Linked DNA regions of Alligator mississippiensis. The protein of the gene in region 1 purifies or fractionates together with the protein of each later gene. This does not show direct contact. Links are inferred from orthologs where the notes say so. Each region holds a gene or a part of one and is shown on either strand. Other genes may lie near its edges.

Region 1 (8,011 bases):
GCGTCTCATCACGGCAGCGCTCTCCTATCACTACCCCAGTCACCAGAGTTTTTCTGGTCACGTCCAGACGGAGCGTGTCTCATCACGGGTTGCGCTCTCCTAATGCACTACCCCAGTCACGAGTGTTACTGACCCGGCCCCACAACTGAGGAGGGTGGATATTTACTTCCACGACTGTCATAATGCCGTGGCATTAGTTTGCAGCACTGGGAAACCAGCGCCCACGTGCTGCCCCCCTCAGCAGCCCCCGGGCCCTCCCGTCCCGTCCCCGCGCGGGGCGCACCGAGCGGCAGCAGGGCGTGGGCGAGCAGGGTGCCGGTGCTGCGGCGCAGGTGGTGCTGCACGAAGGCCGCGTCCTCGCTGCCCAGCCAGGCGCCCAGCAGCCCCTGCACCGTCAGCCCGGCCGCGCGGAACTCGTGCGGCGGGAACACGAAGCACACAGACAGCACCACGTAGGCCAGCGTGAAGGTCACCGCCGGGCTCTCCATGGCGCCGAGCCCCGCGCCCCCGCCCCGCGCCGCGCCGCGCCGCTGCCTGGGAGCCGTAGTCCGGCACCGCCCCCAGCAGCCCCGCCCGGCGCGCGCCCCGTCACCAAAGCCCCGGGCTCTGCGTGGGGCGGGGTTTGCACCGGTGCACGCACGCGTGGATGTTAGCATGCACACGTGCACGCACATAGCACACATTAGCATGCACATGCACACATACAGACACATTAGCATGCGCACACATACGCAGCATACACAGACATATTAGCATGCACACGCACACATGCAGGCACATTAGCATGCATACACATACACACACAGCATACACAGACATATTAGCACGCACACACGCACGCAGAGTACTCATGCAGATGCACACATAAGCACGCACACACGCTCGCACACAGCACACACATAACCACGCACATGCACACACGCATTAGCATGCACACACACACACACACAGCATACACAGGCATTAGCATGCACATGCGCACACATAGTACACACATAACCACACACATGCAGACACACATTAGCATGCACATGCACACACAGTACACACATAACCACACACACGCAGACACATATTAGCATGCACACACAGCACACACACAACCACACACATGAGCATGCACACACAGAGCATACACAGACACGTTAGCATGCACATGCATACACATAGTACACACATAACCACACAATGCAGATACACATTAGCATGCACATGCACACACAGCACACATGCAGGCACATGTACATGCACACACACAGCACACATGCAGACGCACATTAGCATGCACACAGAGCACACATGCAGACATATGCATGCACATGCACACACAACACACATGCATACATACAAGCCAGCACATGCACACATACATGTGCAGGCACACAAAAGTATGCACATGTACACACACATAGCATACCAACACACACATAAGCATGGACATGCACATGCATAGTGCACACACACATTAGCACACACATGCACACAGACATAAGCATGCACATACATGCATACATAAATGCATGTACACACACATGCACACAGACTTGCACAAATGCATGCACAAACATACCTACACACATACACACACACATGTATCAACTATGTATGAACTATGCACACATCTGTCACAAAAAATTAAGTGGGGAGAGGATAGAAAAAAAAAAGGGGGGGAGAGGAAGATGCAGGGTAGGAGAAGAAAAGGGAAATGTGCCCGGACCATTTGGGGTCAGGAAAGAACTTAACCCCTGGTCAGATGGGGACCAACTGGGGTGCAGAGGCCCTCTACCCCGGTGTCTTGAGCCTGTATTGACAACATTTCATAGAAGCAGGATGTTGGTGCTGTGGTTTCCCTGCATTATGCGTGGCAGATTCGGGTGTCACGTCTGTGTGGGTGGGCATCCTGAGTAGAGTTTAGATCAGGGTTAGGCAACCCCCAGCATGGGTACTGGAGTGTGGCATTTTGCAAAGGCATTTTGCTTGGCACATGCACTCGGGGCAGATGGTGGGGAAGGGACCAGGGCAGGATTGGACCCCTCATGGCTCCCCTGCCATCTGCTCCTGTCACACCAACATCTTACAAGTTGAGGTTGTGGGTGTTTTTAGCACTCTGCCGAAAAACGGTGCCAACGCCTGGTTTAGATTATGGATTGCGTGGGATGTTTGGATAGGGCTGATCCTGTCTCAGGAAAGGGGATGCACTAGATGACCTCTGGACGTCCCTTCTAGCCCTTGTTCCTTGAGTGTGGCTACTGGTCATAAAAATAACAGCAGAAATTAGGGTTTTTTTGTCTTCAACAGCGCTGGGCACACAGCCTGCACTTCAGGATAAACAGCCATAATCTGAGGCTTCCTATTAAAGAGGAAAACTGCATCACCCTAGAGGACAGAGAGCATCTCATGGGGCCCTAACTTGTCATGAATTAAAAATTAACAACAAATGGACAGAGAGTAAAACCACAAACACTCTAGGGATCTGCATCTTGGCAGATGGCTGAAACATTGCAAATGGAGGACAGATTTCTTGGTTCTTTGTACACTTTACTAACGCTTCATGTGCCTGTTTTTGCCAATAAAGTCATATTTAAACCAAAATAGTGTGGATCTTGCAAAGGAGGTTGCAGCATTTCATTGTAGGGCACTTCAGCCTAAGAGATTTAATTGTTTCTATAGTTGTAGCACGGTCTCTGGCTAATGCAGCCGCCTTCCTGACTCAAGAGCTGGAGCGCAGCAAGTTTCACAGTAAATCTGCAATTAAAACAGACTAAGAGCAGCAGGTTTTTAACTTGTGATTTGCTTGCAGAGGTTATTAGGGAAGAATAATGACAGTGCAGTGATAGCATTGGAGTGATGAGTCTATAAGTAATATTTGTAAGAGGCAAGATCATGATTTGGAAAATGACGTTACATTAAAACAATATTTTGTATTGCTTGAGACAGAAAGCTATGGGGCACGTCCAGCACCCTACAGGAAACATTGCAGCATTTTGTCTCTAGTGGGTTATGGAATAGAGAAAATCCCACACAATTTACTGATTCGTTTTGATGCACTGGCTGGGGAAGTATTGATTGCACGATTTCACAATGATTACACACTTAATTCATACAACACAATTTTATTTTAAAATTCTTTGCTACGCATATAACACTGCTTAGCTTTAAGAAATACCACAAAAATTAAGAACACAATAATTACATATATCAGAAACAATGCTCCGAATGCGCTTCCTTCTCAAACAATGCTTTAAGAATTAGTATTACAAAAACAACTACAATTACAACTAAAAGTTACACTTGAATCAATACTATTATTTGCATAATATACTTACAATCCTAGAATTCCGAGAAGCCAAACACCTAAATATGGTTTCATTCCTCAGTAGTACAATTTAATGGGCTGGCCTCAGCAGTACGATTCAATGGGCTGGCCACAGCAGTACGGTTCAATGGGCTCGCCTCAGCAATACAATTCAATGGGCTGGCCTCAATACTGATAGGACTAAGTCCCCTTCTTTCAGTCCCTTTCGGGCGCTCTGCAGCTTCAGCGTGAACTAAGAGATTCGTGTTCACGGAGAGGGTGGTTCAGGTGATCAGTCTGATCCGGTCTACGCTTGCGATTCTTCCTTCATTGTTCTGCAAGTATAGTCACCTCCAATTTGGGAGAGTAAGTTACGGTTTTTATTGAGTGAGTTACCGTCCTGGGCCACTCCTACTCAAACCTGTCATTACCCCCAAATTTGGGCTCAGATCTTACTCAACAGATTCTTTTGCTTGGTAATCAGTTTCTTTCTTGAAAATTCTAATGACTTTGGGGAACTTCCATATCACTGCAAGTGACCTTTTCTTTCCAATCTTTTCGAAAAGGCCCTAGGGTTAGATCTCTCCGCACTCAGGATATTTGCTTTAAGGATCATTTTCAGGTTCTCTTTGTTAAAGACTTCTAAAGATAAAATTCAAGAGTTAAAACTTTAAGCAAAGTCTGGATCTTCTACACGTAGTCCAAAACAATGACCTAGATAAGGAGATAAATCTTATCTTCTTTCTGAAACTGGCTAATGGGCAACCATTACAAACATTCAAACTAGTTCATTCAATATGACACATTTGTCTTTGGAAGAAAGCAGAAAAAAATTATTTATATTAAATCAAGCAGGTTTTTTTCGTCTTTAATTCTCTAGTAATGTTAGCCTCTCATTGCTTTCCCCGAGATCACGTGGTTCAGGACCTCGTTCTGCTCCTCCAGGGTTAACTCTCACTCCTGGAAGAAGAGCAGGGCAGTGGCCTTAGCCCCGCGAACTACATTTCCCAGCGTGCTTCACGCAGCACCCCACCCCCTGGTTGCTTCCAGCATCCGGAACATCTTTATTGGTTGAGTGCTCGGCTGTCCCGCCCTTCTACCTTTCTCTGATTGGTCCATTCAGACAGGCATCACCACGGCCTTTCGCAGCTCCTGCCCTTTCATTGGCGAGAGCGGCGCCGTTGAAATTTGAAATCCGGCGGCGGCGCGCGGGGCTGAGGTGGAGGTAGAGGTGGACTGTGGGCTCGGGCACCCGGCCGGGCAGGGCCGCTCGGCAGGCAGGTAGGGCCGGGTCAGGGCTCGCATGCACGGGCAAGTTCCCCCTTGCACACGTGCTCTTGCACACTCGCACACAAAGCCACACGCACGCCCCCCCTTATTGTACACGCGCACGCAAGGACACGCACATTCCCCTGTCTTGCACACTCTTCCTCTTGCACACGGGCACACAAAGACACATGCACACTCGCCCTTGCATATGCACACACAAAGATACGCGAACCCCCCCTTGCACATGTACTCTTTCACTCTCCCTCGCAAGGACACACACACTTCTGCCTTTTGCACACTATCAACTCTATATGAACTATGCACAAGTCTGTCACAAAAGTGAATAAAGGGGTGGAGGAGGGCAGTGTGCCAGGGCTGTTTGTGGTGAGGAAGGGATGTCTCCCCCGTGAGATGCAGGGGGACGTTGCCTTCCTCTGTAGTGGGGCCTGCCTCGGGCAAGGGCCGGTCGAGATAACCCCTGGAGGTCCCGTCCAGCCCGACTTCTGTCTGACTTCTATGACTAATATTTTAATTAGCAAAATAATCTAAGGGTTCTCTCTAAATTGCATAAACTTTTCAAAACGGTTAAGCGTGCTGGATGTGATCCCATAGGTGCTGACTGCTGCTCGTCCTACCTGATTTCCACCCTTGGGCTAAGGACAGAAGTTACACGTGAACCAGTTTAAGTCATCAAAAACGGGTTTAAACCTCTAACGGAACAGAAGTTCAATGCACATCAACCCGTTTCAAAACGTCTGGAACTGGTTTAAGATAAACCGGGTTGAATGTAGTATCAGACTTAGCTGGTTTGGGTCAAACCAGTTTATGAAACTTCTGTCCCAGGCGCCTGAGATGTCCTTCTCAAATGCTGTAGTGTATTTGGTCACCATGTTGGCTTGAGACAAAAAGAAATGCAAAAAATCCAGAACTGTTGCTTCTGAGATGATGCCTTTTATTAAACCAACCGAGAAATTGCAAAAAAAAAATCTTTTTTTCAGCAAGCTTTTGGGCTCACATGCCCTTCATCAGGCTCAGGGAAAGTTAAAGATGGTAAAAAGTCCCCATCGGTAGGAAATCAACTTCATTTTTGCACAGGGGAGGCTGAAGCTAGAAATCTGTCCCTCTGGGTCCATGAGAGTGTCTTTGGGATGTGCTCTTTGTTGTGCAAATCACAACAAAGTAGAGGGGTATCAGACATGTCCCATGGGCCAGATAGCAATTTTCCCCAATTCTCACTTCAATGGGACATATCCCTACAGTGACAGCCACGGTGAGTGAGACCCCCAGCACAGCCCTGTGGCTCGTTCCTCCTCACCCAGTGGCAGCCAAGCACCGAGGATGTTGATCCCCTTCCTGCCAGGTCCCAGACCAGCAGGAGCAGGGGTCATGTGCCCTGGATCTGGCAAGGAGCGTGGGGATGGGGAAATGGCGCTGATCCAGCCCTTGGGGCCAGAAGAATTTGATATCCCTGTTGTAATACAATCCCGTGTGTCACTAATAACTGAATCCTTGCAGCAGGCCTTGCATTCATTGGGGATTTACAGACTGCCCGTTTGCCAAGGGTATCAGCGCTGCATTTGAAACCATGTTGGCTGTAGTTAGTTTTCTTTCCAAATACTAAGTTTTTCTATGCAAAATGTGATCTGAGTTGTATTGGACATCAAGAAATATTGTCAAAAACTCTGTGTTTCACTCGTGTTTCCAGGACCATCCCAGCTACAGGACCACTCCAATGCTACTTTGAGACTTTCTGTGGTGTTGTGCATGAGCCCTATGTCGCTCTCATTAGGTTTTAAGCATTAGTTAGGGTTTAGACTGCACATGACTAAAGGTCTAAACATTGGTCACAAAGGCAGACTAAGACTAAAATGTCAGCAATACTTGTATGCTGTTTGTTGCCCAGATAACTGGATTAGTAGTACTGGAGTACAATAATCCCATTCGTGTCTGCTGCAAACTCATTGCAAACCTTAAGCATTCAGGATTTGTGTGTGGCTTTGTCTGTTGTTTCCTAGACAGTCTCCTTCGTCTCAGGGCACCCATTGGAAAAGGCCAGCTCTTGGTTGTTACTTGTTTTTTGACTACAGAGAAATAATAGAGTCATTCTTTGGTTGTAAAGAAGTTGGAAAGACCACAACAGAAGAGAGTGCTTTTAATACTATGGGTTCCTATTTGAAATTTTAGACAAGGTTCTTTGGGTGAATTTATCTTGACTCGGGCTTGCACGCCGAGCAGTGATTACATTGTGTGGCACCCTTGAAAAGATCTCAAGGCAACCCAGGGTGCTGCAACATTGGCCTAAACTGTCAAACCTGAAGCGGGGTCTAGTATTTCAACTGGGCCTCTTCTAGCTTCAGATTGGGTGCATGCACTTGATCTGAAAAACTTGAGCTGACTGCCTGTTCAAGAGCATCACTAGAAAGCAATCCCAGACTGGTACTTGTACTTAACTATCCCGTGCTCAAACCCAACACAAATGGTGAAGTTTTGTATACATTGTACAGAAAGCTCAGTGATGGCTTTCACAGCCTTAGCTCTATCCCATTCTACACCCAATTATGCAGTAATATCACAAGTATAACAGGAGCATAATTGTATAAATAGACCATAGAATAGCACTTACAGCCATTATCTAATGTATGCAGGTAAGATCTTACTCAAATGTTGAATTAAAGTAATTTGCTATCTTCAGCGCTGCTGGAATTCCACTGACCATGTCTGTAATTCAGCTAGACTTCCTCTGGCAAATTGAAAGGCCAGTAGCAGTTAAACTGTTATTTTAATGATTCAAAATACAACAAAAGAGTCTAGCGAAGGGCTACAAAAATGGTTAGCAGGCTAGGGCACATGATTTATGAGGACAGGCTGAGGGAACTGGGCTTATTTAGTTTAGAGAAGAGAAGACACATACAGGGATTTGATTGCAGCCTTCAACTACCTGGAGGGCAGTTTTAAAAGAGGGTGGAGCTGGACTGTTCTCAGTGGTGGCAGATGACAGAAGTTGGAGAAAGGGAGGTTTAGGTTAGATATTAGGAAGAATTTTATCACTAGGAGGGTAGTAAAACACTGGAACAGCTTACCCAGAGAGGTGAGGGAATCTCTATCCTTGGAGGTTTTTAAGACCCAGCTAGACAAAGCCTTGGTTGGCCTGATCTAGTTGGGATGGTCCTGTTTTGAGCAGAGGTTGAACTAGATGATCACTTGAGGTCCCTTCCAACCCTAACTTTCTATGCTTTCTATATGTGACGGGCTAGTTGGCAGTGACCTAGCCCAGGGGTTTTGAAAGGGCAAAAGATGATTGGAGGACTTGGGATTCCCTTTCCTCACCAATCTGGTAATGATTTGGCCCAGGAGTTTTGAAGGGGTAAAAGATGATTGGAGGATTCGCTTTCCTCACCAGTCAGGCCCCAGAGACTCACCCTCCGTGTCCCCTGATTGGTCCCTTGG
Region 2 (8,011 bases), on another chromosome or scaffold:
TTCCAGTCCTAGCTGGTTGGTTGGAAGTCCTGGAGTGGAGCCTGCCAAGGACGCGGAGCAGTTTGGTGTGCCTATTGGCTTGGCAGACACCACTGCTGCTGAGTGGGAGCAAGGTGGGTGGACTGAAGCAGGGTGGCTTTGGGGGACATTACTGCATTTACTCAAATTCAAGACAAAGTTCCCCCCATTTAATGGGGGTGGTAGAAAAAGCCCCTTGTCTTGGATTTGGTTTACAAGGTTTAGCTGTTGTTGCTTTAGCTCTAGCCCTGGCCCTAACCTAGGGTTGGAGCCCAAGCTAAGGCTGCTGTTTGTCCCTGTCCCCATCCCCCTGCTACCTCTTTCCCTGTCTCCTTGTACCCCACAGTCTCTGCTCCCCTGTCTGTTTCTTCCCTTTCCCTGCTTTTCCCTCCTCTTTTCCCCCTAAAACTCCCCCTATTGCTTAGCTTGGCTCCAGCTTCAGCAGGCTCTAGCCTCTCCACAGCCTGGGCCACAGCGCATGTTTGCTCCAGCCCCAACCCCAGCCCAAACATAGGATAGTGGGGGAGGTAAGTGGTGTGGACAGACAGGTGGCAAGGGCAAGGTGTTGTGGAGCAAGGAGCAGGGAGCAAGCTGCTTGACTTCCCCTGCTGCCTACCCTTCCCACTCCCCCCCCCCTTTTTTTGTCAATGAGAACTTGAATTTTCTTATCATTCTCATCAAACCAGTCCTGATATTTCTTTGTGGAGAAGCCTAGAGATTCTTCTCATGACTCAAGCATGCCTTTCCTGAGGCTTTCCCAGTGATCAGTGGTGTCAATATCATCAGTGAGGTTGGAGAGTACTGCTGGAAATAATTGCTTTTATCAGGGTCTTTCAAGCACTTAATAATATTGAACCTCTTCTTTGGTTGTTTCTTTTGCTTACACCATTTTGGGGTGATGAATGGGCATGATGGAACATATTGTCAGGGTGTCTTCTTCATTAACCATGCCGGGCTGGGCCAAGCACTTGAGCCAGCACACCTGCCCTGATCCTTGGTTAATAAGATTGCCCTAGTTTTCTGTGGAGGTGAGCAACTGGATGGACTGCTGAAAGCACCACTTACCCCTTTTAAGCATATCTCTGCAGTGTTTTGAGTAGGGGGTGCATCCATGATGTCTTTCATTTCTTCTGTAACTGAATAGGGAGTTTGTAATGATAAGACTACATTCCAAACACTTGCTCAGAAGGAAAATTCCATTTGAATTGACTTTTCCCACCCCTTCCTTTCCAAGTGTTCCTTTCCATAGTTCAGATTCTCTGCCCAGTGTAGCATTGAAATTCCCAAGAATGGTCTTATCTTTTTTGGGGGCAGATGACAAGACTTGGCTGGGTTTAGAATAGGATTCTTCCTTAGTTTCATCATGTGCAGCCAGGGCGTAAGCACTGATGACTGTTGCATGTTGTCTGTTGGTCAGTGTAAAACAAAAGGTCACGAGACACTTGTGTATGCCAAGCGGACATTTCGCATCTGAGTAACAATTTTGGTCCAGATAGCAAAATCAACACATGGCTTTATCTGCAGCAACACTGAGATCTTTATATGGCCTTTGTTGACCTAAGGCCTTTGATTCAATCAACAGAAAGGCCCTTTGGAAGATACTGATGAGATTTGAATGCCCATCAGAAGTTGTTGCCATCATTAGATTTCTTTGTGATGATGACATGATGAGAAAGTGTAAGCTGTGGCTCAGAAATTAATTCCTTTGCTGTTAGAACTCCTGGAGTCAAGCAGGGATGCATGATTGCACTAACATTTTCTTCTATCTATATTGCAGCTATTTCATATCTCATTGCTGCTGGGCTTCCATCTGGAGTCAGCATCCAGTACTGTGTGGCTGGGGAATCTCTTTAACATCAACCAGATAGGTTCCAAATCCATGATAACCAACATTGTCATTACTGATCTTCAGTATGCTGTTGTCATATGTATCCACTTGATCAAAGAGATCCAGGTCACTCACTGCTTCTGTGAAGCATGTGAAATGCTTAGACTTATTGTCAACTGCACAAAAAAACAAAATACTTTTTTCAACCTGCCCCAAAACAGCCAGCTGCTCCCTCCTCCCCCACACATTACAATTAGAGGGTAATACTTGGAGAATTTTGAGTATTTCCCTTACCAGAAATGGAAACGTGGATGATGATGATTTCTAGATTCAGCACTGAAAAAATCTGCCATTGCTGCCTTTTGAACATCTACAAAATTGTGTCCCTGATCATGACATCAGGACCCAAACCAAAATTCTTGTCTGTCAGGCTGTTGTTATCTCTAGCCTGCTGTGTGGGTGTAAAACTCGGACAGCTTAACAGAAGCCCCAGAGAGCTTTGGAGTGTTACCACCAATGATGTCTTCAGAAAATCCTCTACCTCAATTGAAAGGACAAAATAATGAATATTGGAGTTCTGGCTCAAGCAAAGATCACCAGTGTTGAAGCCATGTTTATATATAGCACCAGCTCCATTAGGCAGGACAGGTCATAAGGATGCCTGACAAATGGCTCCTGAAACAGGTCCTGTACTCGCAACTTGCCAGTGATCACATTTCTAGAGGTAGGCAAAAGAAGAGCTTCAAGGACAGCTTAAAGACCAATCTGAAGAACTGTGATATTGACATCAATACTTGGGGGACCTGAGCTCTGAATCATCCCTGGCTGAGTATGACAAGGCATTGACCATTTTGATCAAATTTGTCTCATTATGGAGGTGAATAGGTGAGAGGGACAAAGGAAAAGAGCTGAGACCCAGCATCACCAGGATCCACTTCCTTCTATAACTGTATACCATGCCTGCAATCAACATGCAGATCTTGCATTGGTCTCCTCATTCATCTCCAGATTTATTAATGACTTCCCTATTTATGGAAGACTGTCACCCTGATATTGAGGGACTGCTGACTACATGGAAAAGTATAGCATTTTAATAGATTTTTTTATATATAGAATCTAATTACTGGGTAGTTGTTTTAAATTCAGTTTTGTCTTGGATTCAGGTAAATACAGTAGTTGCTACTGAGGCTAGCTTTTGCTAGATAGAATGCAGATTATTTTATTTGTTTTAAGGGGATTCCTAATATTTTTTTTCCTTTGGGTTGTTTGTTGTGATTTGTTAGACCTTCATATAAAATCAAATTGCCTTATTTAATAAAATGTGCTCATTTTGTAATCCGTGTAATCATTAGTTTGAAGATTGTTCCAAACTTCTTTCAAATGCTGCTTGGAAAGTGATTTTTAAAATATATCTGGCTGTTAAATTACTTTGGTATTTAGTCAGTAAACATTCTGACCACAAGTGTCAAAGAACAGGCCATATTTTCTAGGTGAAGTTGAGAAAATGATCTGCTGATATCATTTGCTAATCATATGTTTTGCATTAAACGTCACAATAAGGCATAAATTAATTTGTGAAGGGTACAAAGATGTTTTTGCATGACTGTTCTTCTAATATCCAGTACAGTGACTCTCAGCCTTTTTTGGTCTTAAAGCACCCCCCTGGAAAGTGCCAGCTCTTAGCCTTCCCTCAGTTTTTGATTATGAAAAAATAATATAGCAATGCTGTTCCAAAAAAAATTAAAAAGACCACAACAAATGTTTTTGACACTGGATTCCTATTGAAAATCTCTTGGTTTGTCTTGCGAACCATGCATACTAAACAGCCCAAATGTTGCATGGTACCCTGGAGGATGCTGCAGCACCCTGGTGGAGCATCAGTGGTGTAGTCTCTTATATAAATTGAGACTATTGAGAAATAATAAATGAATATAAAATCAAAAAGTCTCTTTTAAAAATTATTTAGAATTCTGAGTTGTTTGTACTGCTAGTGTTGTAATTGCTCCTCTTCTATGCAGACATTCTCTGAGAAAAAGCATAGGAAGCATTAAAGAATGATATGTTTGGATTCATAAATCTCTGCTTTGATTTACTTAAAGTGATCTTAGTGCAAGACTACTAGTCTGACAGCCAATAGAATGCTTCAGGCAATGAAATTTTCTGCTCAGACTGTCTCTGAGCCTTTTTTTACCAAACATAGATACCTTGAGGGATTTGGGATAATACAGTTGCTGAGATTCCTCTTGGATGAGATGTTTAGTTTTATGTGAAGGTGATGCAGAGGGTGGGCTTAATGAGTCAAAAATGTGTAAAATGTAATTCTTAGTCCCTAGAAGTGTTATTTATTTTAAGATACATTAGTAATCTTATGTATTGTTACAGATAATTTTTATTATTAACAAGGCTTGTTAAGAGTCTTATGAATCTAGTTCAATTAAAAAAAAATAGTTGCATAGAGTAAGAAGTGTATTGGTTATATTTCTATGTGTTCCTTCAGTTATTTCTTTTTCCTTCCTTTGTATGAGGCAACTAGAAACATAGGAAGATGCATGTTTTGTTGACTTGTCTGATGGAAACATGAATTTTTCACCGTATAAAGTTAGATGAAAATTTCTTCATGTTGGTATTAGTAATCTCTTATTCCCTTCATGCTATTTTCCCCTGATATTGAAGGAAAAAAACATATGGATGATCTGAGGGGTAATTTCTGAGTTTAACTAAACAACTTGCAGCTGTAAACCTTTTATTTTGGATATATTTATCTGTTCTTGAGTCATCAAGCCAGATATTTTGAAACCATTAATTTATTTATTTTTGAGATCAAAGTTGGATAAAATCAGAAGTCTAACTATTTTTTAGAGGGTCTTGATGATACCCAATTTCCAGTTGCCTAAATTAACTTTTGGCATATAATTTTGTAAAACAGGGTATAAATTATATTTAAAAAAATAAATGAAACCCCCCCCCCAATAAAAAATCTTGTTCCACGTTAATTGATAACACTTGGTGAGTCAGCTTGTTACTTGCTAGTTTCTGCCAATTTCCCCCTGCTTTTCTTATTTTCTATTAGAGCAGTGTTGTTCAACTATTTTAAGGTTTGCTTCATTTTCTTTTTCTTTTCCTTTTTTTAACCAAGGACGTGAGCTTCTCCGTATAGAAAAACATTATAATTCTATACTTTGGAGTATCCTAATATTAAGTATTTTATATGGTTTTCCTTTCCGACATTACTTATTCTAGTATTTTAGGCTTATTTATACAAAGTAAAAGTTCAGTATACTATTGTATTATTTAAAAAATTCTAAACGTAATTAAACTTTTAAAAATCATTACCAAAAATAAGACCAACCATAATCTTGTACAAGATAATTAAAGAATTTCTCTCAAATGACAGATGGAGATTGCCTAGCTGGCAACATGGTATCTTATTTCAGTTGTCTGTGATTCCCAGTGCCCTACTAGCACCTCCTAAAGGGAGGGTTGTGTGCTTTTGGAAATGCAGTGCAGGTTGGGACCATGCTGTGCCCCAGAGCAATGGGGTTTTCATTACTTTGAGGTGATGTAGCTAGAGCAAGGAAAAGAGGGTCCAAGCAGTAACTGTGACGTGATCAGCTCCTGAGCTGCGTGAAAGCTCAGAGTTCCCTGGTATGTCAGCATGCATGAACACTGCTGCTGCTTATAGCCCTTTTTCCCCATCACTGAATTTAGTAGCAGGGGAAAGGAGGAACTAGTAGCAGGAGTGTTCACCCATGCTGACATGTTGGTTGACAATCAGATGTTCCCACTGGCTTTGCATCTGGCTCTGTGTCTGGCTGGTGGACTGAAGGTTGAGAAGCACCATATTAGTATATTAAGATAGATAAAGTACAACCTGGATCTTTGCAAGTTTAGGTTCCTTACTGTCCTGTAAAGATGAGGGTTTGAGAACTAGCCACAGCAAACAGCACTGAGAGACTCCTGAGGTGCTCCAGCCATTTATTGCAGCTTTCATTTTAAAGTACACCCTTTCTCCAGCCAGCTGTGTGGAGAAAGAATGTAATTTGAAGTAAAAGCTGGAGTGAACAGTTCAGTGCATTGATTTTCAACCAGGGTGAAATGTGATGTTACCACTTTTATGTGTGCAAACTTGGGTTCTTAAGAGAAACCCAGAGATTTCAAATAGGAATCCAGAGTGTCAAAAACATTCTGACCTGTTGTAGTCTTTTGGAGTTATTTACAACAACAAAAATTGCTCTATAATGTTTGTGCACTCAATAAATGAACAAAACCTAAGGGGTGGAATTTTGAGGGGTGCCTCAAGTTTAACAAGGTTGAGAACCACTAGTGTAGTTGGCTTTATCTTGACTTGGTAACTTGGTGCAAATGTAAGCAGGTTGGGAACCATCATTATATAAAGGTCTAGATTCTACCACACCTTATTTGCCACCTTATGGTTTCGTTAACTTTGACATCCTTAATTTCCATTTTGCTTCTTGTTGGTCCATTCGTATCAGTGCAGTGAAGTTCTTTTTCACAAGTTACTACTTCCTGTTCTTCATCACCTATTTTATAATTGGAGTGATAGTAAAACTGTAGTTAAAAGCATTAGATAATTTTTGAAGCTTAAGGTTTTTCATGATTTACTTCACTCTTCCTTTACCTATTTCTCTGTTACAATTTGTTATTACTTTTGCTCATCGTTTTGCCGTACTGGTTTAAGCCAGCTTCGCCACTCTTTATATGGCTTCTATGCTTAAAACATTCTCTTTCAGTATCGCAGGGGTCATTTTTTCTTTTCAAATTAGTTTAAGCTAAACTCTCAAACACTAAAGTACATTTTCAAAACATTAAGAAAAGTTGACATTTCTCTTAGTTTCTTAGGTTGTCTGTTGAGACTGTTAGCTGCTTGGCATCAAAGATCTATGTACAGCTTCACACAGAGCACACTGCTGGCTATAGGGTTAGTGCAGCAAATTTTGATGCAGATTGGTACATAGCGAACATTTCAGTGAGGAGGTTACCTTAAACATTTTAATTGACAGGTCCATTGTTTTTGCACAGTGAAGTGTACACACCTGTACTTGATTTAAAAAAAATCACAAATCTAGTTTGACAGGATTTCATATGGAATTGTTATTGATCTTTGCTGTCACACTGTTTCTTTGAATGAGACAAGCAAGGTTCTTTGGGTAGATGTAGCTTTTATTAGGCCAACTAAATAGTGAACTTTTTCTGTAACTGTATTGTAGTCAAGTCTAACACCTGTTGGCTATCAGCCTGTTGCCATGTAAATGATTGTCACCAAAACTGCAAAAACATGAGGGCAGAACAGATGGGCTGCAGTGGGACAAGCCCTTTTTTAAGCCTCATAGCATGGGACTGAGCATGAAATGCACTATGAATGGATTTATGTAAGACAGGGGTGTTGTATTCACCCAGCTCCCTGAGCTGGATCTAAATTGGCAATGGTCACCACAGGGATAGACTCCACCCATCGCTTAACCCCTGCTGCCAGCATGTACCCCCAGTGGGATCTCATAACCCAGATTTCAATAGTAGGCATAGTTTCTCTAGGAGTGCTGTGGCTGAGTGACACAGTTCCACAGTCCTGATCCCATCCTACGGGCTGTGCATTAGGTATTGCCTCCAGGTTAAGTCTTCAAATACACGAAGGGAAATTTGTAGAGAGAACAGATGTAGGCTTTTCTCTGTGGCTGTGCGAGACAGGACTAGGTTAAGAGCCTCAAGCTGCAACAAAGGAAGTTTAGGTAAATGATAAGGAGGAACGTTCTGACTGTAGGGGTGGTCAAGCATTGGAACAGGCTACCTAGAGAAGTTGTGGAATCTCTGCCTCTAGAAACTAAAATGTCTCTTATTACAATTCAGGATATTGATTTATATCCTTGTTCATATGGCATTGCTTGTCTACCCTCCCAATAGTTACCCCAATCTTAATTCGCATGGGGGTAGTTTTAAATTACTAACTAAAATATGGTTCTGTTTTATGAAATTAACCTGAATTTGTGCTATTATAAATATGCAATGAATTAAGCACTGTGTTCTGGTTTTTTTTCTTTTAAATCCCACTGATACTTAGAGCATTATTTGAACTCTATAAAACTGTTGTAGGCAGTATAATACTTGGACAGGTGCAAGCATGAATAGTCCTATTAACTATTATTTTGC
Region 3 (8,011 bases), about 210 Mb from region 1:
GTCTGAGGAGGACAACGAGGGCGGCAGCTACTGGTAGGATAGTGTTTATTCACCATACCCCTCCCACAAAGATGGGATGTTTGCAAAGCTAAGGTACAAGGCAAGCTAAAATTGTTCTACAGAAAGGACTGAATCCTCCTCAGCAGCAGTCTGGATGTCACACACATTTGAATGACCCCCCCCCCCCCAACCATCACAAGCTGCCTCCTACTAGATAACCTCCCCCTCCAACGGCATGCATGCAGCTCTCCTTTCCCACCCCCAACCCACTCCCGTCGGGCCTTCTGAAAAGGCAGCCCTCAGTGTCCTTGCTCCGTTCATCAGCCTGCGGCTCATGCTCTACCCACAACCCCTGCCTAAAGCTCAGGCCCTAGACGCCCCCCCGGCGATGCCCAGTAGGGCCCCACCTCCCCCGAAGGCCGCAGCTCGCGGACATTTTGCAGCGAGCAAGCAGAGCCGAGCCGAGCGGAGCAGAGGGGCGCCGCAGGCCCAAGGAGCTCGGCCCGGCCGGGGGCTGCAGCTCAGTTCGAGCCCCCCCCCGGCCAGCCGGCCGGCTGCAGCCGAGTAGGCCGCCCGCCCCGCATTGTTTATCCCCGCAGCCTCCCCTGCCCCGAGGGCCCCGACAGCGCAGCCGCCACCCCCGATCGGGGCCTGCGTGGCCCAGGGCGCAGCAAGCCGGGCACTCACCCACCGACAGCCGCGGCGCGGCGCGGCCCCGCTTAGCAGCAGCAGCAGGCGGGGAGCTGCATTTCTGAGCCCGGCTAGGAAGGAGGCGCCTCCTCCGGGGCGGGGCGCGGAGCGCTGCAGCCGGCGCCGCCTGCCCCCGCCTCCCGCCATACCTGGGAGTGAAGGGAGGAGAAGAGGAGCCGCTGCATGTGCCAGACAAAGGCGATCGGGCCCCCTTCCTCCCGGCATTTCACCGCCCCGCGCCCTTGCCCAAACTCCAGCCCCTCCCTGCCACCCCAACGAGCCGGCGTCGCCCCCGCGGAGCCTTGGCTACTGCCTTCCTCGAGAGCTGCACAGCCGCGCCTGGCTCCCTCTCGTGGGAGAGGGCGTGGGCCGCCCCAAGCCACCGGCCCGTCCCGCCTTGACAAGGCACAGACTCCTCCACGTTGCTGGCGGTGAAGCCACTCCCTGGACCAGCAACAACCAACACCATGCTGCATGGGGGGTGCTGTCTGGGAGGAGGAATTCATGCATCAGAGCCTCAAACTTCAATACTCCACAGGGTTTTAGCCGGAGCCCCCACCCAAAAACATATAGCTAAAAGCCACGAGCAAGTTTTTCAACATTTGTGTACAATGGTGACAGATGGGTCATTCCCCTCCCCCCACCCCAAGTTGCGTGGCATGCAGTATCCAAGGCCATTTAATGAGATTTAGAATTACAGCTTGGCACTGGGGAGGGATCAGGGGTGGCAGTGAAGGGCTGAAGTGATAAGATCTTAGGCTAGGGGTGTAAACCTGTAGCCTGAAAAACAGAGTAGGTTCCAAGAAACACTTGAAGGTGTAACCGGTCACTGTCAATGCCACTTCCTTTGTTGTTTGAGATCAAGGCACCCATTCTAGAATGAAGGCTGCACCCAAGCCTGGTACAATGGAAGTATCCATACTTTATGCCAGACTGTGCCCCTCCAGCCTTCTGCTCAGATAGCCTGAAGAAAGGGGTTTGGCTCTGGGCACCAGCACAAACTCTGCTCAGGGCCCAGATTTCTGAAGAGCACAACAGCTGCCTCTACTGAATGTTTGGAAGTTGCTGTAACTAAGCTACTTAAGTAATTGTTTCTATGCCACCTTGCTTCAAAGCATAGATGCCCAGCCTCAAGTGATCTGCAATAACTCAGCTCCAGTCTCCTTAGGTTGGACAGATGCCCAAAACAACAGCCTTGTCCACATGGTACAGCCAAGGTTTAATTTAGTTGTAAATCTACCAGGTTTTCCTGCAGCACGTTTTAGACTGCTTCTCCCCACCTCAAAGAGTCACAGGGGAGGCTCACACTTGGCTGTTCTATACTGTAAGGCACCTGCAACAGTTAAGTTGATGCCAGAACGAAAACAACAAGGCTATTATGGACTGAGATCATCCATTCAGTTCCTTCCCAACTTTGCACAACATCCATAAACCAAGTCATAGTACATCAGTGGTCTGAATGTATGGAACATTAGAGGTTTTTTAAGACAAGAATACAGGAAATTCAGAATAAAAAAAATAACCAAGTTATCCTGAACCTATAACAAAGTCAAAGGGAAGGGGGAAGAAGGGGTGAAGGAACCAGATGCATATTGTAACTTTCTGTACAAGAGTTTCTTTTTTGGCAGCATCATAACTTTGAGTGCCTTAATGTTACTCATATATATGGATATGCTGCTTGGGATCTCTCTAGTTGCTCACCATGGAAGCTTACAAGTTAGACTGTTAACAAACTGGAGAGAATTATAATTATTCTCCCTCAGATATTCAAATCCCAGTTTTTTCCCCCTCTGTTCTTTGTAAAGGGCCCAAATTCCAGATGTTGCTCAGCAAAATTGGGGTTCATGCTTTTATTTGACAGCTTTTAGGTCAAGGGTCATTAGACATGCAACTAGCATCTTTTCATATATGTAAAGTTTAGGTGGTTAGATCATAACAGAAGGAGAGCAAATGTTAGCATGGAAATGCCTTAAATCACAATCCAGAAGAGAAACATGCACGTAAAAAAAGAAAGAATTATGTTTTACAATGCATGTATTTGGTTCCAATACATCAAGAAATATAGGACACCTTACATCTCTAGAGGAATGTTTAAGATAATTTGGCCAGTTTCACCAGTTTTCCACCCTTCAGTAACAATCTAGGTCTTTTAATTGCATGCAGATCTTACTCACACATACACACACACCCTCTAGTTTTCTGAGCTTCCTGAAAATTATTCACTATGTTTTTTAACTCCAAGCTTAGTTGCCTCTGTTGAGAGCCATGTTAGAAGCACAGGTTACTATCCTGGCTAGTATTTAGCTCAGTATGCTTTGATGTAACAATTGCTTTTTTTCAGAACAAAAGTTGCAGGTCAAGGAAAATACATGGAAGTTTTCAAAACAGAAGTTTCCTTATCCTTGCAGCATAGGAGACCAGAACAAGGCCAAACTTGGGAAAGAGACGCACAGAATTAGGTCAACTTCTGACAAGCTCAGCTGATCTAGCATTGGATGCTGAGAAGTCAATACCTACACAGACAGTGCTTATTCACTTGACTGCCATCTTCTTGGTCTCATCACTTGTATTTCATGAGTATATGACAAACACACCTCTACCCATATTAAGTTTGGTAATCTTTTTTTAGGTTTAAGCATTGGCCAGAGGTTACCTGCCAGCATATCTTTCTAAATACGCATCTTTGAGGGCCCATGGGCTGCAGAGACAGACTCTGTGTAAACTCAAAGTTCATATGGTATCACCCTGCTGACAGCACAGCAAAACCCTCTCACTACAGACAGTCCAACAACAAAACAAACAGCTCTATTCCTTCTGCAAATGAGAATTGGAAGAGTTATGCAACATACAGGACCAACAATCTCAGATTGCAGCAAGGGAAGCTGAGGTTAGATATGAGGAGAAACTGTCTCACTAGGTGGGTAGTAGAGCACTGGAACCGGCTACCCAGAAAGGCTATGGAATCTCCATCCTTAGAGGTTTTTAAGACCCAAGGAGTCAGAACTGGCTGGGATGATTATCACTGGGGACGGTGCTGCTTTGCGCAAGGCTGAAAACCACTAGATAAGTGGCTTTCAGCCTTTTTCATTTTGCAGACTCCTAAAGAAGTTGGAGCGGAGGTGCAGCCCCCTCTGAATTGTAAGTGTGGGTATTTGCGTATTTTTCATGGATCACAATCATCTTTCACACACCCCTTAGACACAGTCTGCAGACCCCCAGAGATCCACGGACCACAGATTGAAAGCCACTGCACAAGGCTAGACTGCCTCCTCGGTCCCTTCCCACTCCCGTTTTCTCGGATTCTCTATGCAGCCCTGAAATTTAGTGCCCATGACGACAGCTGCCTCTTAGCCAAAGAAACAGAGAACCACCGCCAGGCAGCTGGAATCAAACTGCTCCAGCGGGCGCTTGCACAGGGGCTGAAGAAACCTTGTGGCTCCAAGGCAGACGAGGCGGGCCCCGGACAGCCAGCAGCCCGGCTGAACGCCTCGTGGATCCCTACTCCTCGCACGTAGGCTGCGGCCAAGGAGCAGCCGCAGGCAAGCGGCAGGATGCGGCTGCCCAGAAGCCCGACGGCCCCGCGTCCCACCGGAGACTAAGACACGCGCTACGCAGAAGCGGCCGTCACCGAGCCGCAAGGCCCTGGCCCGGTTAGAGCGGCCCGGCCAACCCCGGGGCACCCACGGGCAGCGACATCGAGGCTCTGCGCCGTCCGTGACCCTACCCCTGCCGCTACCCGCCGCCGGCGCCCGGCGAGGGGGGAGGGGCCGCGCGCGGCGGCCGGCACCTGGGAAACCCCAGGGGTCGCCCCGCCTCGCTCGGGCCCCGGCAGGCGGGAGGGGAGGGGAGGGGCTGGGCTGGGCTGGCCAGGGCAGGAGCGGGTAGCGGCGCTCACCTAGGCCCGGCTTGGTCGAGCGCGGGCAGCCGGGAGCCTTCTCAGCAACAGGGTTTGAAATCACTACCCCGCCCGCACCTCGCAGTGTCCTGAGCGTTCATTGGCCGCCGCCGGCCCCGCCCCCACCGCCTCATTGGGTGGTTTGAACGCGGCTTGTGCCACGCACGGAGCTGTGCTCTTAAAGGGGCAGCTGCAGGAGGCCTCAGGCTCGAGACAGTAGAGGATGTTAGGCCCGGCCTAGCTGAGCCTAGGGTGCGGGCCTGCAACTTGCCAGCCTCCAGGGAGAGTGGCATGGCCAGAACCAGCCCTTGCCTCAGAGGGGCACTGGGCTGCCTTAGGCCCCTGCCACATGTTACTCATGTCACACAATGGTGAATCATACAGTAAGTATAGGCCAGCCGTGCTTGCAAAGGGATGATCACTTCATGAGCATACACAACCAGCTCCAAAGTTAGTGCTTGAAAACATGCAGTAATTTTATACCTGGGTTCTATCCAGCTTTAGTTTGAGTGACAGGGGCCCTCTTAGATGAACTAGATGGGAGTATGTGCACACAAGGTTTAGTGGGTAGCGATACATCTAGATATAAGCATAGGCAGATCTAGGATTTTGAAAGGGAGGGTACAGACTGAAGGGCATCAGCACATAAAATACAACACATTTTTCTCTAGATAAAAATAGGAAGGTTCCTTTACAAGATAGGGGGCCAGAACTGGATTATTCAGTTTAGGATTGAAGTAAAACCAAATATAACTTCATTGGAATGAGTTAAAAAAACAATCTGCAGGGCTATGAATTGGCTGCTGTGGGAATGAAGCTCCTAACACACAGCAGAGTTGCAAAACAAAGGCTAGATTGATGGGAGGAACATCACAACCATTAAAAGGAAGAGGGTCATTGACAACTGGAATAAAGAGTTGAGAAGGAATCAGGTGTATTAGAATGAAACAGAAAGTCAAGTAGCTACCTCAGCACTGTCTGACTAGATTTGCTGCTACTGCCAGGCAGTTGATTTAAAGTGGTGGAGCAGGATTGGTGGGTGGATGCAAGTGCACTAGTGCACCTCTCCCTGATCCACCCCTGGATATATGATGCACAGAGAAAGTACAAGCTTTCTGAGCTTCTGCTCACTTCATCAGATGCTGGGAAAGGATATGCTGAAAGCAGAGTATCTGATGACCTGAGCTCCAGCCCAGGAAATATTGTGTTCACAGTCTGTCTTGGTCAGATCTACCCTGACTTCACCCTGGTTGAGACTCGCCCATGTAAACCACTCTTACAAGTCTTATGCAAGTACAGCTGCCAGCAGTTTGCTGACTTGCTCAATTTGGGTGGTGTGAAATTTGCCAGGTGCTCCCAGTGGCCTGCGGGCTTGGTAGACAGGGAGGAGGAGGACTCCTTCAAAGTATTAAAATGAATCAGTCACATGAGGAAGACTCACCTGCCAGAGATGGAACTTTTATACCAACTTCATCAAGACACTGGACCTAAAAAATGATTCCATAACTTTGGTGCAGGTGCAAATAAAAGCAAAAATCTGGTCTTTTGAATTCACTTTCTTACCAGAATGTGACTTGGTTTTGCTGATTGTGCCAGGATTAAGACTTCTGTATTTACTTTCCAGGGCTGAGATATCAGGGACAAGTTTTCTATAAATTTTACATGGCAGAATCAACAGATTTAGATGTTTACTCTGCACTTGTGGTATCCAAGCATTTAAAGCATTGGTTTTCTACCTTTTTATAGACTCCTAGCTTTTGTGAATTGAGCAACACTCTATTGCAAAAACTAATTTATTACAGTGCTAACCTCACTGCAGAGAGGCTGGTCATTGGGAGGTGGGCAGCAACCAGGTAGAGAATAGACTGAGCCCACACTGATCTCCTTACATCCCCCACCCCAGGGTACCCTAACAGCTTGTTTGAGAATCCCTGATTGAAAGCATAGTACGAATCTTGTCTAGAATTAGAAGTCTAGAAAACTACTCATTTAAAAAAACTGTATTAAACACAAAAATCTAGAATGTATTTAGAGTAGGATTTTAACCATTATGTGTATCCTGCTTAATCTTAATTTCTCCAGTAAATGTACATGGCCAAATTTCACTCTGGCAGCGATGCTTTCACTAAAGCTAAACAGTGGTGAATTTAGGTTCTGCTACAGGCATCAACAGGTGTATTGTAGTAGTGTATCATTTAGTAATTAGGACTGCTAAATACTATAAAACGGCATGCTACGCAGGAGGACAAGCTAGCATTATGTGAGCTTTTCATATTATGGTTTCTTATTGTTCAAAGACAATATAATATTTGGTTAGTTTACAGTTAAATTCCATTTGTTTGGTACTAGCAGCACAGAAATGTACACACAAGAAAAGAGAACTCAGCTCTTCCTGCTGATGTAGTTGAATATGCATTAGGTGTGATATGTACTTATGCAGCTCTAGAATCTCCCCAGTAAAACAACAGAACATATGTACACACCTAAAAAGCCTTACTGGTGTAGGCTGGAACTAATTTGGTGTAGAAAATCTGTCATGCAGGCACAACACAGGTGTCCTTTTCACCCTGCTCACTTTCAACAGCTGAAGGGATTAAGGGAAAAGTAATCTCAGGGCAGAGTCTAAAGTGAAGGACTTCAGTCACAAACATAGATGCTCTTGGAAAATTACAATTATGGGAAAATGGGGTTAGATTTTAAGACAGGTTGTTAACTATCATCATGAAAAGAAACGGCAGTATGTTTCAATTATTCAGCACTGCCTTTCTCCCCCCAGTATATTCAAAAGTCAATGTTTATAGTGAGGAACCAGCTGTCAGAACATCTTGCTTCTATTCTCTGCATGGCTTACTTCATAAACAGAGAGAAATTACTTCCTGCAGGGATAGTGGTAACATCCTCCACTTCCACAGCAGAACTGATGCAAAGTTCATTAACCTCTGTAAAGAGATTTTAGACCTTCATAAGGAAGAATCTAGAAAGAGTCACTGGTAGCAGCAATCCTGCCTTGTATTTGCAGTGCCATGATTAAGCATTTCATCCATTACCCATCTTATTTTGCCCAATTTAAAAGATTCATTAGTAGTTATTTAGAGATATTTAAAAGTGCCAGAAAAACAATGGACAAAGAACTCAGGAAAGGAATATAGCTTCTGCTCCTTTTCATCCCCGCTCTGATCTCCTCAGGACTACCCCTTTCCATTAGGAAAAGGCAGGGTTTACACCAATTTCGTCACCATGGCCTGCAGAATTAAGCTACTCTTGCTTTTACTGCCATGCTAACCTAGTAGTGAAGGGAGAAGGCAGTGAGTTTGCTGCATTTAAAGCTGTACTTGGATCTTTTTTGACACTGGGCCCCAGTTCAAGCTTCAACTGGTGGAAGTAAGTCATGTTATAGTCAGTTTGATGGTCAGCAGATTCCACCCA

Evidence for each region.
Region 2: the proteins of TACC3 (region 1) and ENAH purify together in Homo sapiens (co-immunoprecipitation; 3 studies listed by BioGRID and IntAct, with this or other methods). This does not show direct contact. The link is inferred for Alligator mississippiensis from reciprocal best matches to the Homo sapiens genes TACC3 and ENAH.
Region 3: the proteins of TACC3 (region 1) and CKAP5 purify together in Homo sapiens (co-immunoprecipitation; 5 studies listed by BioGRID and IntAct, with this or other methods). This does not show direct contact. The link is inferred for Alligator mississippiensis from reciprocal best matches to the Homo sapiens genes TACC3 and CKAP5.

The regions. Positions count from the first base shown.
Region 1 is NC_081825.1:17,675,011-17,683,021, forward strand, and holds the start of TACC3 (transforming acidic coiled-coil-containing protein 3), read left to right. Parts: upstream 1-4,473; 5' UTR 4,474-4,576; intron 4,577-8,011. Other genes in the region: TMEM129 (E3 ubiquitin-protein ligase TM129), read right to left, coding at 284-488. UniProt on the Homo sapiens protein: Plays a role in the microtubule-dependent coupling of the nucleus and the centrosome. Involved in the processes that regulate centrosome-mediated interkinetic nuclear migration (INM) of neural progenitors.
Region 2 is NC_081824.1:180,332,015-180,340,025, forward strand, and holds the start of ENAH (protein enabled homolog), read left to right. Parts: upstream 1-2,903; 5' UTR 2,904-2,918; coding exon 2,919-2,926; intron 2,927-8,011. UniProt on the Homo sapiens protein: Ena/VASP proteins are actin-associated proteins involved in a range of processes dependent on cytoskeleton remodeling and cell polarity such as axon guidance and lamellipodial and filopodial dynamics in migrating cells.
Region 3 is NC_081825.1:227,538,486-227,546,496, forward strand, and holds the start of CKAP5 (cytoskeleton-associated protein 5), read right to left. Parts: upstream 4,683-8,011; 5' UTR 4,586-4,682; intron 778-4,585; exon of another isoform or gene 688-777; intron 1-687. UniProt on the Homo sapiens protein: Binds to the plus end of microtubules and regulates microtubule dynamics and microtubule organization. Acts as a processive microtubule polymerase. Promotes cytoplasmic microtubule nucleation and elongation. Plays a major role in organizing spindle poles.